Linked DNA regions of Lonchura striata. The protein of the gene in region 1 purifies or fractionates together with the protein of each later gene. This does not show direct contact. Links are inferred from orthologs where the notes say so. Each region holds a gene or a part of one and is shown in the gene's direction. Other genes may lie near its edges.

What was found. Proteins that work in one complex are often made in the same cells at the same time.
Region 2: the proteins of DNAJC7 (region 1) and VPS13C purify together in Homo sapiens (co-immunoprecipitation; 4 studies listed by BioGRID and IntAct, counting the BioPlex papers as one, with this or other methods). This does not show direct contact. The link is inferred for Lonchura striata from reciprocal best matches to the Homo sapiens genes DNAJC7 and VPS13C.

The regions. Positions count from the first base shown.
Region 1 is NC_134627.1:6,513,667-6,520,938, forward strand, and holds the start of DNAJC7 (dnaJ homolog subfamily C member 7), read left to right. Parts: upstream 1-4,265; 5' UTR 4,266-4,301; coding exon 4,302-4,393; intron 4,394-7,272. Other genes in the region: NKIRAS2 (NF-kappa-B inhibitor-interacting Ras-like protein 2), read right to left, coding at 2,885-3,124, 3,506-3,747, 3,882-3,975. UniProt on the Homo sapiens protein: Acts as a co-chaperone regulating the molecular chaperones HSP70 and HSP90 in folding of steroid receptors, such as the glucocorticoid receptor and the progesterone receptor.
Region 2 is NC_134613.1:8,225,544-8,232,946, forward strand, and holds the start of VPS13C (intermembrane lipid transfer protein VPS13C), read left to right. Parts: upstream 1-4,310; 5' UTR 4,311-4,410; coding exon 4,411-4,510; intron 4,511-5,812; coding exon 5,813-5,856; intron 5,857-6,872; coding exon 6,873-6,915; intron 6,916-7,403. UniProt on the Homo sapiens protein: Mediates the transfer of lipids between membranes at organelle contact sites. Necessary for proper mitochondrial function and maintenance of mitochondrial transmembrane potential.

The DNA.
Region 1 (7,272 bases):
TGAGGAGGTGACCCTGTGCTTGGCACCTGTCCTTGTCGCTGTCCCACCGCAGGGACAGCCCTGCCCCTACCTCCCGGGAGATGCTGTGAGGCTGAGTGAATGTCCCTAAAGCACTTTCAGTTCTCCAGTGAAAGGCAATGCTGCTGCTCACCTGCCGTGCACAGCCCTCCAATCCCATCCCAGTTAGGAGCTTCCAGGAAGTTACTGATGATTCCCGAAATCAAAGGTGTCTTCAGCAGCCTGGACAATCAGGTGGCAGGTGCACCCATAGCCTGCGGAGTGCCAGGCTCTGGAGGGACCCCAAGGCCATAGCTCTGCATTTCACTGTGCTCAGACAGCCCGACCATGACCTGTCTGGGACTGTCACCGCGGCGCTCTGGGTGCCCAGCACGCTGCTGTACATAGAGAGAGTTGCATCCCAAATGGACCTTTCGCTGGAGGAACACCCCACCCCGATCTATGCAACCCCACAGGGGGCAGCTCACCCGCCGCATTGGCCGCCTGCGATTCCCTTTGGTGCTGATGCATCCCTGCAGCCAGAGCAGTGGTGGCAGCAGAAGAACCAACATGACGCTGAGCTCTGTCCCATCCCTGGCCCAGGGTTCAGACCCTGGTTCAGACCTCTGCTGTGACTCCCATTCCCTCCCAGCCCTCGGGAGGAGGCGGGTTGGTGTGTGCACCTGGGAATCCACACGCACAAGCACACATATCTGACGTCTTGGCCATAAGCAGCGCCTGGATTTCACAAGGATTTTGCCCAGCGTGCTCCACTGATGCTCAGGATGGGTCCTGGCACGGGGAGCTGAACAGGAAGTGGCCAATGGGCAACTCAGATGGCTGAAACATATCTGCTTCCCAGGCCTGGAGCCTGAAACAGATCTGCTTGCCAGGCCTGGAGCCTTGGCAAGGGCAGGAAAGCTGCAGGAAGGAGCACACACACACCTGCAGGGTAGCACCTACTGTGGAGCCACCACTGTACTCCTGCCACAGAGACAGGAGAGTGAGGGAGCCCCTGGGTATGAATTCAGCTGCTCAGGGCATCCCTTGCTCAGGGAAGGAGGAGAGTAGAGAGAGGGCACCAAGAGAAGACTGAGCAGCTGTACATGCAGACAATGGAAAGGTCTTGCAGCAGTGGTGGGATATGTGGCTTGGAGCGCAGCTGAGGGAAACAAGGCTCCCAGCAGGGAGGCCAGGGATAGGGAGATGGTCCCACAGCCCAGGGGACACGTAAGGACCCCACATCCCAGGGGACAGGAGCCTGTGCTGGCTGGACAGGAGGGACGCTGTCCCCGTTCCCCAGTGCCAAGCAGCCCGTGGCCGGGGTGCCCCCAGCCATTCCTGCCCGTCTCACTGTGCCCTTCCCAGCCCCTGGGGTCACCCCCAGTCCAGCCATCGCAGCAGGACAGTGGGTCCCCTCCTGTGCCATGAGCCCCTGGTGTTGTGCCCAGCCCCTCAGAAGCTTGGGGAGCCTGGAGCAGCTGGGCTCCAGCTTGCAGAGCCGCGTGGCACCAGTGGGCCTGTTCCCCTCCATTGTTCCAAAAAGCCTGTGCTGGAGCCACGGCTGCTCCTTGCCCCTCACCAGTTCTTGGCACTTTAACCCTGTGAAAGCCATTCCTTCTAGTAACAATAATACTGCAATGAGCTGCGTAAGAAACCCCCGTTATGGCATCCCCCCAAATCCCCTCCTGCTCTCCAAAGCATTTACTGCCTTTGACTTAGCACATGCTGTACTAGGAGTAGGGATAGTCCATAGCGCTCGGTAATGTGTGCCCTCTGTAAATAACCTTGGAGTGATGTGAAATTTGATTCAAAACACCAGAAAAAAAAAAAACAAAACAAGCCCAAAATGGAATATCCAGACTCTAGGGACTTGGCCAGTACCCTCCTGTAATGTTCATTGTATATTTTTTTGATGTACTATAACTGTTGGGAAAAAAAAAAAAAGGAAAATATTTTGATAATCGAATCTCATCGCTTTATTGTGTTACTCAGTAAATAAAAGAACAAGTATAAACACACTGGGGCTTTTCATCAGTTCTTTTCCTACATCCAGACTACCTGAAGGGAACAAGCGTTGCTGGGTAGGGCTGGGACACCTGTGCCTTGTCTTATGGTGGTTCTGAGAGGAGGCAGCATTGTGACAGGTGGGCAGTGAGAGCTGCCATAGCCCAAAGCATCTGGAGTGTGCAGCCTAAGTACAGTCCCAGCTCCTCCAAGGATCTAGGTATGCAGGTAAAGCACAACCCCATCTCCTCCAAGCTCATGGCCGAGTCTGCACTCAGGAAAAGGGCTGGAATGGTGGATTTGGGCACCCTGCCCTCAGGAACAGCACCTGCCCTGCTCTAGGCATTCCCTGGTGCAGCATGTCGGGATATTCCAGTGCATAAAGGAGCAGTGGAAACTGCCAGGGTAAGGGACAAGCTGCCAGGGAGCAGCACAGAGCCAGCTGGGGCAGGGCAAGGAGAGCTGCTTGGCTGGAGGCAGGGTCAGCAAACAGGCTCTGCCCACACGTTATCAGGAAATAGAAAAAGAGGGAGTTGTTCCCTCCAGATGTAGAGCTGACGCCCACGTTCCAGCCAGCCTGTGCTGTGCCTCTGTTCCACTCTCCCAGCCTGTACCTGAGAGCAGAGGGGGTCACTGAGTGAATCCTGACCTTCCTGTAGCACCTCTGACAGCTGCAGGGGCTGGGCAGGGAGAGGAGTGGCTCCTGTCCCACTGCCTCTCTCATCTGCCAGGACCATCCCTAGCCCTGGGATGATTGTTCCTCCTGCCACCTGCTTCCCACAGGCTCTGTGACACAGACAGGACTCAGCAGGAGGTGGGTGCAAGGAAAGCAGGAAGGTGAGGAAGAGGAGGTGGCAATAGAAGGGAAGGGGAAGCAGGCTCATCCATCCATGGATCCACTGCCCTTGTTCTTGCGGCTCAGGGGAAAGGCAGACTTGCTCTGTGGCTGTGTCATCTTGCTGGCCAGGTAGATGAAGGGCTCGATCAGCGTGCGCCGGTCAGCCACGGACACCTCCCACAGCTTCACCTTCTCGCCCTTGGCCCAGTGCTGGGCTGCATCATGGTCCACCCGGCGCTGCTCCTGCAGGTCACACTTGTTGCCCAAAACCACAATGGTGACCTGTTCCAAAAGGTTGAGAAGGGCCCCTGACGACCAAACACAGCTGCAGGGTTGGCTCTGCCATGGAGACCCTCAGTGGTGGGCCTGGCCCTGCCACGGAGACCCTCAGTGATGGGCCTGGCCCTGTCCATGTCAAGGCCTTTTGAAATCCAATGATCTCAGTGCTCCCTTCCCCACCTGCTAGGGTCTGCGTGTCCCAAACCAGCCCCAGAGTGGAAGGAACTTCTGAGCACCTGTAAACTCAGAGAGCATCCCAGAGAACAGCCTGTTACTCCTGTGAGTCTCACAGATCAGGGACCCATCAGTACCTTGTGACAGGCTGGAGAAACCAAAGGTGAGAACCTGCCCCACGGCAGCAGATCCTCCTGCGGGGGGACTCACCTCCTTCTTGTCCTTGGACTTGTCGATCTCCTTCTTGAGCAACTCGACACGCTTGAAGGACTCCTTGTTGTCGGTGCTGTAGACCAGCACGTATCCGTCGGTGCAGGAGAAGCAGTGCTTGGGCAGCTCCAGCCCGTCCCGCAGCCCCCGCGTGTCGTAGAAGCGCACCTGCTCCCGCACGCCGCGGTCCGTCTCGATGGAGCCCACGTAAATGTCCTCCTGGGTCTCGATCATCTCCGAGCCTGCCGGGGGCGGGCAGCGGGCGCTGCGAGCGCTGCCGGGGCCCGGCCCCGGCCCAGCGCGGGAGCTGTCCCGGCCGGTGCTCGGGGCGGACAGCCCTGCCCAGGCCCGACCTGCCCGCCGCACCCGCACTCACCGACCACATGGTTCCCGTAGAGCAGCTGCTCCAGGATGGAGGTTTTCCCCACCGAGGCCTGCCCGCACACCACCACCTTGCAGCTCTTGCCCATGCCGCCTCACCGCGGCCGCCGAGCCTCACCGGCGGCGGGAGGCGCGCGGCGGCACCGCAGCGCCCCCTGCGGGCGGGCGGACCGCGGCACGCAGCGCCGCCCTGCCGTGCGGCGGGAGGGGGCGTGGCCGGCGCAAGCTCCGCCCACCGCCCGGTCAAGTTCCGCCCTCCTCCCGGTACCGGCCCCTCCCGATGCCGCCGCCGGGCTCCTCCGCGGGCGCCCCCTGCCGGTCGGGCCCCGGCCCGCCCCACCGGCGGAGGTCCCGCCCGTTCCGGCCCTCGCCCCGCCCCGCCCCGCCCCGGTCCGGCCCAGCCCCGCGCGGTAAGATGGCGGCGGCGGCGGCTGAGGCCGAGTGCGATGTGGTCATGGCGGCGCCCGACGGGCCCGGCGAGACCGACAGCGACGAGGAGGCGCGCAGGTAGAGCGGCGGCCCGGGCGGGGAAAGGGCGGCCCCTGTCCCTGCCGGTGGGCCCGGCGAGGCTGCGGGTGCCGCAGGGCCCGGGGCCGCGGCGCTCGGCAGGGCCCGGAGCTGCGGTCGGTCCCCGCCCGGGCCGGCCCCGCGGGCGGCGTGCTCGGTGCGGGCCGGCCGCGAGCGGCGGCGCCCCGGGGCTCCGCGGCGGGGCCCGGCGGGCGGTGACAGCCACACAGCCACGGGCCGCACGCGGCGGGGCCCGGAGCCGCTGGATTTGGGATGCGGTGCCGCTGTGTCCCGGTGTGCTCCCGCCGCCGCCGTGCGCACCGGGATTAGAGGAGCCGCCCCGGTAGCGGGGTGTCCCAGCAATGCAGCTCACACCCTGTGTCCCGAGGCCGCACACCCTCACCGCTGCCGGGGGAGCGCGTCCTCCCCCTGGCTGGGGAGGGGAGGATTAAACTCGTGGGAAGAGGAAGCTCCAAACTCCTGAACCCTCTGCTGCTTCGTCACCCCATTCCCCTGGTTCTGGTCCCTTTGAGACCTGCCCAGAGCGGGTTCCACTCTGTCCTGCCTTGCTGTGGGAAACGGGAAAGACTCCTTGGGCAGAGCGCTGCTGCGGGAATGCTCCATCATCCCGGAGCTCTCGGTTTGTCCGTGCTGTGCTGGTGCAGCTGGCAGTGGCACCTGAGGCGGGGTAAGATGGGATCCCCACCTTTCCTGCATGTTTTCCCTCCAGGAGTGAGTGAGCTGTGGGAAAATCCTGGCAACTCCACTGGTTTTCCATAGTGGCAGGTGCTGGTTCATAACCCAGGGAGCTGGAAGGAAAGAGCCGTTCCTGGAGGAGCTGAGGCATTTGCTCTGGAGGATGATTCAGTGGAATGAAGAAGAAACAAAACCAAAAGTGGCCTCTGAGGAATGGTGGTTTCAGCCTCCCATTGATGGCTCAAGGGATTTTACGGAATTGAGGCCTGAGGAGCAGCTCCCTGGGGAGATCCTGCTGAGCAGGAAGGGAGGAGCTGCTGAAGAGGCACTTGGGGTTCACAGAGCACCGACATCGCCCAGCCTGTGGGGCTGGGACAGGCTTGTGTGGGCACATCACTCCTGCCCCTTGGGCAAGCGAAGTGAGTAGTTTGAAATGGTGGAAATTCGCAGAGGTAAAACCCTGGCTGAAGGCACAGGTGTCTGCAGGTAGTGACCTCCAGCTCCTTTCTTCATTCCTGAGGCTGTGCTGTGCACCGCTTTCATTAGGCACCTTCACAGCGTTTCCTTTTCGTGTTCTTCTGGGAATGTAACACCTTTCCCGTGCTGAAATGGACCCATATGGGCAGGAGCTGATTCTTTGGTGTTGCTCTGGAGGAGCCAGCCCTGCACAACCTGATTTCTGTGCAGTTCTGTGCATTAACCTCTTCCCTACCCCAGCCCTTCCTGTTTCACTGCAGTAGTTCAATGGCTCTCATGGAAATCAGAGCAATAGCTGCTGCACTGGGGAGTGGAGTTGGAGCTTCAGAAGGTGTCAGGTGTTTGTGAGATATCCCAGGCCAGGTAAGAGCTGGGTGAGCTCCACATGGGACGCATTGATTTGGTGCAGCCTTTGAGGTGTATCTTCACTCACTTCGGTAAAAATCATCAGAAATAAGGGCAGACCTTTTCAGAATCCTTATGATAACTCAGCAATGAGGGTTCCATGTTCTGTTGTTTCCATTTAGGGATTACAGTATGGCAGAATATGGATACTTTGCTCAAGGATTCACCTTGTCCAAATGCACGATTCTGTTCTCTGTGGCTTAATAAAACTGGGAAGTTAGAAAACAAGCAAAAGGGGAGATCTGCATTTCAGAATGGCTGTAACTAACGCCCTGAAGCAGCTGCAGACATGCCAGAGGGCTCCCAGGGTGTCCAGGGCACAGGAATGGAGTGTGGTCACAGGATAATTATTGTCTGCTGCTGCCTCATGGATGGTTGGGGTCCTGGCAGGAAGTGTTGATGTAATTGTGTTAATTTTATCCATTGGTGCACCAGTGCGGAGCAGCTGATGAGCAGGACTGGGCCACCCCTACAAACTCACTTGATTCTTCATTAATTTTAAATGTTTCTCACCCATGGGAGCAGTTTTTCCCTGCTCCCAGCTGCTTTATGAGCTTGGGCCCCTGGAGCTTTGCCAGGGAGAATTTCCTTGTCATCTTCCTGGCAACTCTGGGTTTTGGCTCCTGTGCATCCTCCAGGCTGGATCTTTCTCCTTCTTCAGCACTGGATCATGTGGGAGCTTTCTTTTCTTGAAAAGAAATACCTCCAGCTGTTGGGAAAATACTGTTAAGAGATTGCAGAGCCCCTGCTGCAGGTTTGGGATGTGTTGGTGCCTCTGTGGGGACATTGACATTTCCCACAGCAAAGTGACGAGCAAGGAGTGGCCCACACAGAGTCCTGGAGGTTCTGGGCCTGGCCAGGCTGTGGGTCCCTGGCCAGGTCTGCAGGTGTTGCCTGGAGCTTGTCAGGTGTTGGTGAGCACCAAGAGGCTTCTCCAGTGCATGGGGTGAGGTGCATCTCAGTGAGGCTCCTCCAGAATAATTGTCCTTGCTCGCCAGCTTTGGGGCAGCGCTGGCAGGAGCGGGGTGAATCATCTGAGGGGCACCAGGTCCTTCTGGGATAACTTGGAGAAGGCTCTCCTGTTCCTCTTCTGCCTGTAAATGGGCACTTGGACTTCCCAGGTGATAAACCAGCCCATTTTACTCATCTGGAATTATTTTATGATCTCATGATCATACCAGAAGCAGCAGAAGGTACTCAAGTTGTTGTTTGCTTCCTTGTGCATCTGCAGAGTATTTAAATATCTAACTTAGGCAGTTGCTTTATCTAGTAGGGAAAGGTGATCCATACTAACAGTTTCA
Region 2 (7,403 bases), on another chromosome or scaffold:
GTGCATGCCAAGTCTTTTATATTTTATTGTTGGATCACAGAAAGGACACACAGTGAAACACTATCACAGCTTTTTGCAGATGCCAGTTCTTCTCTGAGAATCGAGACTCTCCAGCTGTTACAAGGGAAAAGGGAAAGCAGATTGCTGTGTTGGCATCTTCTTAGTGCATCAGACATCTTAATATATCTTAAACTGCTGGGTTTACTTACTGCTAATAAGATTAAGTGTTGTAAAAATTTCTAAGAAATGTCTTAATTATTAGCAGTGTTCCAAGTAGTATCAGTTGTTTTAACTATTTTGCTACTCTAATCCATGTAATTTGGGTGTTTATTCTAGTATTTGCCATAACTGTTTAAGCACCTTTTGTTTTCACTTATTGTCTATAAGTGCATTCAGCACTAATGAAATCTCCTGTGTATTACTTAGAAAAAAATGAAAATCAGTGCAAAATGAACTTATTATAAAAATTTAAAATCAAAATATAAATAAGATTAACCCCAGTATCGAATACTACTACTTGTAGAGCATTCTAAACTTTTCTTTACAAAAGACAAATTGGTAAGAAGATGAATATTGATCTTTTCCATTTGTTAGGTCCAAAAATATGTGCTTTAATAATATAGTTACTTCTGAGACTGTAACAATCCAAAATTGTGACAAGGGAAATCCTCAGTAGCTGGAAGGAATGAAACATAATCAGAGTTGACAAGGAACTAGCTGCTCAGAGAGGCTGTGGCATAATTGGGTTTTGGAGATTTTCTGAAGTTGTCCAAACACTTTTGACTTTTGGCAACCTGATCTAACTCATCACGAAGTCCTCTTATCTCTGTAGACTTTGTGATGAGAGTTGATGCAACATTACCTGGCTGATTTCCCAACTGCTAATAGGCATACAGTGTGTTTAGTGAGGTACAGTGGATAAAATTTGCCATCTGTTCACTTGCCAACAGTCAGAGGGTAGGAGCTGAGACTTTATAATATTAATGCAGTAAAACAGGAGATGAAAGCTTGGCTATTGAGCTTTCAACCCATGTACTCACCTCAGATTAGAACTGCTGTGGCTATTATTTGTTTACGTATGCAGGATTGCGTAATAGGCAACTCTAAACAAATACTTGTTGTTGCAGTTATTAATAAAATTTCAGCTCTAACTGATAACTTTTAATGCAGATTTCTTGTCTTTTTTTAGGCTTCATAGTTTTGGTAAAGGTTTCCCTAAGAAGTTTGATCAAATCTTGCCACATAAAATAGCACACCTACAAACAGAAGTGTCACAATCTTGTATTTATATTTTTTTAGTAAATTAGTGCAGTGATGGAATCATCAGATTATCAGATATTTAACAGAGTGCTACAATAATATAAAATGAGCTTTTGATGACTTTTGCCTGAGTAAAAGTAATTATTTAATTCATATTTATCAAACCAATCATTAGGAAAAGGTAAGTAGAGTGCCTGGGTTTTCCCCAGGGAGAATTAACATTATTTGTGTATTCAATGAATGGTGGGCAAATACTTCTGTTTGTCCTGGATTTGTTCTCCTAGATACAGAATTCTTATGACATATAATTTGTGGATGAGGGGGTTTTGGGTTTGTTTCCCTCCCCTGCATCCCATATTGGACTGTTTCTTTTCTTGTTGAGAACACACAAGGAATGGCACCTACCTACAGACAGAACAACATTAATGTAATTTTTGAGTGGTGTCCTGTCTCCAAGAGATTCTCAGGCAGATTAACAAAGGATTGCAGGTAATAGAGGTGCAATACTATGTGCCTTTATTTTCAAGTAATATTGCAGTATTTAAACCACACACATGGTTGATAAAATATCTAATAAAACTGCTCACAGGTTTTCCATTCTTAATTCCATTTATTTTCCTTTTATTTTTAAAAATCTATGTAGGATTTACTGAAATGGGATATCTGACACAAATGTACTGGTTGGTGATCTTTTCCAGGTTAAATCACACTCCTTCAGGACCAATTTTTGATCCACTACATCTCATGCCTACATTTTCTGGAAAACATAGAATTGTTTAGGTTGGAAAGGACCTTTAAGATCCTTAAAGGTGCAGAACTTTTGTTCTGCACTGCCCAAGCCAGCACTAAACCACATCCTTAAGAGCCATATCCACAGGTATTTTTAATACCCCCACTCCTTCCCTGAGCAGCCTATCCCAATGCTTGGTAACCTTTCAGTGAAGAAATTTTTTCTAATATCCAACTTAATCCTGTCCTGGAGCTACTTGAGGCCATTTCCTCAAAACAGATGATTTTATGAATTCATGGAACTCTTTTAAGTTCTTTAGAACAACACTTTGATCAGTCAGGATATTATTTAACTACATAAAAACTACTTTTTGTGGTTTTCAACACCCTTTATAGTTGTGATTAAATTTTCTTTGAGTATGTTTTTTCCTGTGCAGAAATGATGAGCATGATGAAAAATGAAGTAGAAGATGGATATATAATCCTGGCTGTATTGTATAATTGTTACAGAGAAAACTTACTACCATTGATTTGCTCTTAAATTGACATACAGCTGTCCCTGATTAACCAGAACTTTTGCTTAAGCTTTAGTCATTCAGCTGTGGTTTGTATACACAGAAATTAAAATATTTCAAAACTTCATTTTTAAAAATTCCAAATGAAAAATCATTACCTAATAGAATGGCAGCAGGAAGTTTATTCACAATTTCCTGACATGTTTTCTTCCATTGTCTCTTCTCTCTGACGGGAAAAGCCAAGTCTGTACAAAACAATTAAACAAGTAAATTTAACATAAAGGTAGGCATATATATATATATGTAGGTATGTGTATATATATTTAATAATAATGTATGCCCTTTGCTTCTTCACACTTTGTGAAAAGGTGATAAAACCTTTTGTGCTGCTTGCATGCTCTGAACTGCACTATGTGGTTTACTGTGGTTTGATAAACTGAAAATGCATTTGATACATGCATTTTGATGAAGGTGAGCATCCACAATTCAAATAAAGTCAAAAGTGTTCCTAGCAAAGCTCTGTGGATTTACCTTAACTGCAGCAAGAGGGAGTTTGCAAGCCTGAAGCACAGGCTGTAACAAAACCAGAGTGGTAACAATTGCTGATGGACCTTTCCTCTGTCAAACTTAAATATTTTCCTTCAGCTTTGTGGTTTTGTAAAATCAGCTTGCACTAAGATCCACAATAGATTTGAACGCTGTTTAAAGCAATATTTGTCTAACCGTGATTATATTTATGCGGTGTTGATGTATTTTCCCATATTTTTGAGGGTGAATTCTATTGCTAATATTGTTTTCTGCTCTTTGGAATACATTTTTAGACTGAATATGCCATTTTGAGCTATCAAGTGCTGTACTTCCATGAATAATTGAGCTCCTATGGGTTCAGAATGACTTTACAGAACCAGTTTGAGATTAGCACTTCAGAGATTTAAAAATTTGTTCCAGGGCTGACATTGCTACCTGCAGGTTCACCGCACGGAGTAGCATGTTCTTATGTAATTTCTCTGCAGTCCTATTACCTCTAAAACATCTGGGCTTTGGGATTTTTTTCTCATTTGTGTTTACTTCCTCTGTGAGTTTCCTGAACTGCTAGATTTAAAGAGTTTAATTACCAGTTTTAAAATCAGAAATAGTTTTCTAAGACACTGTTAAGCACACGCAGGTCCCGCCAGTCCCAGGTGAACTGAGGTGCACAACTCGCCCTGGGACGGCGCCGGCAGCGGCAGGGCCCAAAGGCGGCGCCGCGGCCCCACACGGCGAACGGGCGGCACCGAGCGGCTCTCGGCGGGACCCGCCTGAGGGGAACCGAGCGGCTCTCGGCGGGACCCGCCTGAGGGGAACCGAGGGCGGCTGCGCCGGCGCCTTCCCCGCGCCCCCGCCAGCCTCCCGTCCCACCCGCACGGCTCCCCGGGCCTGCTGAGGAGCCGAGGCGCGATGCCGGCGCCGGGACGGCGTCCGCGGGTGAGCAGCCGGGGCGCGGTGCCGGTGACAGGACGGTGCCGCGGCCGCTCCTCCCTCACGCGGTCTCTTCGCCCCGCGAAGCGCCGGGGGAGCGGCGGCTGCGGCCGCGGATCCGCGCCGCAAGGGGGCGCCATGCGCGCCGCGCCGACCCCGCCCCGCTTCGCGCGCTCGTTCGGCCCCGCGGCTCCGAGCGCCGGCGGCGGGCTCGGGATCCTGCGCTGCCGCCCGGGGTCTGGCCGCGCCCGGCGCCGCCGCCGTTCCGCCGCTCCGAGTCCCCCCACGCCCCGCACCTCCGCACCCCGGCGGGCGCCGGGCTGCGCCCCGCCCCGTCAGCTGACTGCCGGGGGCGCGCCCGCGCTGGGTCACGCCGCGCTCGCCGCCCCCTCCCCTGCGCTCCGCTCCCCTCCCAGCCGGCGGCCGCGGCTGAGGGGCCGCCTACGCCATGGTGCTGGAATCAGTGGTGGCGGATCTGCTGAACCGCTTCCTGGGCGACTATGTGGAGAACCTGAACAAGTCTCAGCTCAAGCTGGGCATATGGGGGGGTAAGGAGCCCCTTCCCTCTGCTGCTCCGTGTCCGCCGGGCCGCCGGAGTTACCGGGGGCAGGGGGAGCAGGTCTGGCTGGCCGCGGTTACCCTGTGAGGGGTCCGCGGGCCGCGGGACCGCCGGCCCCTCTGAGGGACGAGCGGTGGCTTTGCGGGCCCCCGGGAGCAGGAGGCGAGTTCCGGGGCCGCGGCCCTCCGAGGCGGGCGGGCGGTGCGTGGCCGCACACGTCCCCGCTCCCGTGGGGGACCGTCGGTCCTCGTGTGCCCGGCGTCCCTGGCACCTCTCCCTCGCGTCGGTCTGTGGGGCGGGGGCATGGGCGCACGGCGCTGGCCTCGGAGCGCTTCGAGGGAGGAGACCGCCGACACCGATAAAACCCCTGTTATTTCTCCTATTCCTTGTCTCGGGTGCTGGGTGGAAGCACGATGGTGCTGTTGGAACTGTGGGCGGGCTTATGGCGCAGTGCCCCTGGTGCCGGTGCAGCTGATGGAGTGCTTGGGGAGCCGTGTGTTTCAGTTATCGGTGTAAATAATACGTGTTAAACAGCCGGGGAGTGCAGGTTTGTGGAGTAGCTGTTCCCGCTGAATGTATCAAAACACTTCCGTTCGCTATGCTATAGTCATGCAGAAAAGCAGCCGAAGTACTGTCTAGGAAAGCTGGCTGGTTTAGGTGCCTTCCGTAGGTAGGTCATCACCTTAGTTTTGCTCGTCATGGTTGTACGTGTCTTAGCATTTAAGCAGTATTAATACCTATACTTGAAATGGAATATAGCTCTAAGGAAACTGACATTAAAGTATTAACAGGTATATAGGCTTTCCTCAGGTATAATTCTGTGCCAGTGTTTAATTTAGAAATCCTATGACATTGTCTGCGTCAGGAAAAGTTAATGTGTTTGTGAAAACAGGAATGTGTTTTTGTGGCTCTGTGATTCATGATTTTTCTTTCATGTGAAATCATGAAAAACAAGATGCCATTTTCCAAGTCTACCCTATGTTGATAGAACTGCAATTGTCATTCACACCAAGTGAATAAGACTTCCTATTCTTGTGGGTGTATTTAATAGAGTAGAAACATGTTGATATCTAAGTTGGTGGTGTTTTTATCATCTCTTCCAACTGAAATTTTTTCTATAACCCATGTTTAGTGGCTCTTACAAATTACATGTTTCTTGTGCTATTGTGTAACTGGAATGTTTTCAGGTTTTATTCTTAAGTACTTGGTAGGATTGTGGTTGTCTTCCTTTTTCTAACATAAGTAATACTTGAAGTAATTTTTTCTGTACTTCTCCCTTTTTTCTAAACAGGTAATGTGGCACTTGACAATTTACAGATAAAGGAGAACGCATTAGTAAGTATCCTATCTGGCTGAATAAATTCTCATTTATAACACTAATAAGTTTGTATTTGTTTTATGGGTCTAAAGACTAAGACTTAGGATGAAATGTTGCTCACTGTAGTCTCACAAGAGGATACACTGAGTTCTTTTTTTACTGGTTATAGGAAGTAAGTTCTTGGTTAACTGCTTCTAATTTTGCTCATTTTACTGGAAGAGAAAGAAAAGCTGTGGCTGAAAAACAGAAGTAACTTTCATTAAGTTCCCATACTCTTCTGGAAAAACAAATTACTTGGCTGATTTTCATGTTCCTTAATTTGGATAATGAACATCTGTACTACTGAGGGAATCTTGCTCCAAAATTTAATGGGTTTCAACTTCACTAAAGAGAACTGTTACTTTTCTGTGCACTGGAAACACATTGGATCTTTATATGACCTGATCACTGGCTTCTCTTTGTTATTCTGAAATTTCATATTTTGCTTGTCTATTTCATCCATTCCTGATGGCTTTGTTGTAGTTCTAATCAATTGCTACAAATGTCTTCATGTCTAGTAGACAAGGAAGGAAAGAAGTGTTACTTTGTACACACCTTTCCTTCTAATGGGGGTTGATTCAGATTCCAGCAGTTCTGATGTAGAAAAATGCAAAGTCATGTATGTGACTGACCAGAGCCAAGACCAAATCAAGAACATAAAGTAAGGGATGGTTCTGACAACCTTACAATTGCAATGTGTTAGATTTCCATGCAAAAGTAATTAAAGGGAGGTCAGTATTAAACACCACTTGTAGAGAAGTAGCCTACACTTGCTTGAAAAAGAAGGGATCAAAGGAATATGATATGGTCCAGTTCTTCTTTTTTACTCTAGTTTGCCCATCTGCTGCTGTCTTGTTTTCCTTCTAGGATTTTCCAGTAGAAAAGAAGTAGCTTTTAATTTCTGTATGTAAATACAGTACTTTGCAAATATAATCCAAATTTATCTGATTTTTACTACTTCTTCTGTTTAATACTTTATTTTTGTAATTTACAGAGTGAACTGGATGTACCTTTTAGAGTAAAAGTTGGTCAGATAGGTAAGTTTTAGTTCCAGCACAACTACTGCAATAGAAATTTTAATACATGCTATAAGGTCAGTCTTGCCCCTGAATTTCTTTTATCAAGCTATCAAGCTTTATAAGTGTAATTATACTCACTGTTGAAACTGGCATAGAAATTCAATATGGCTGCCATCGATGTTATCTGGCAAACCCTCTTTGTGTAACTTTACAGATTGATATGAAAAACACATCTGAGAGGTTCTTCCCAAAGACATGAATGATCAAGGGAGCTGTTTAGTGTAGACAGAGTATGCATTGTTCTTTAAAGGACTGATTTAGACTATGAAGAATGAAGTTAAATTCCTGAAACTGACAAAATATGCCAAAGGTTTAGGAACTCTTAGTTTTTGGTTTTTTTTTTTAGTAATTCCTTTCCATGGTAGTCAGCATTGCTTTTTCACATGAAACATTTGTAGGAGATTTACATATGTGTAGTATTTTTTCTTCTACTTCCTGGTAAAATC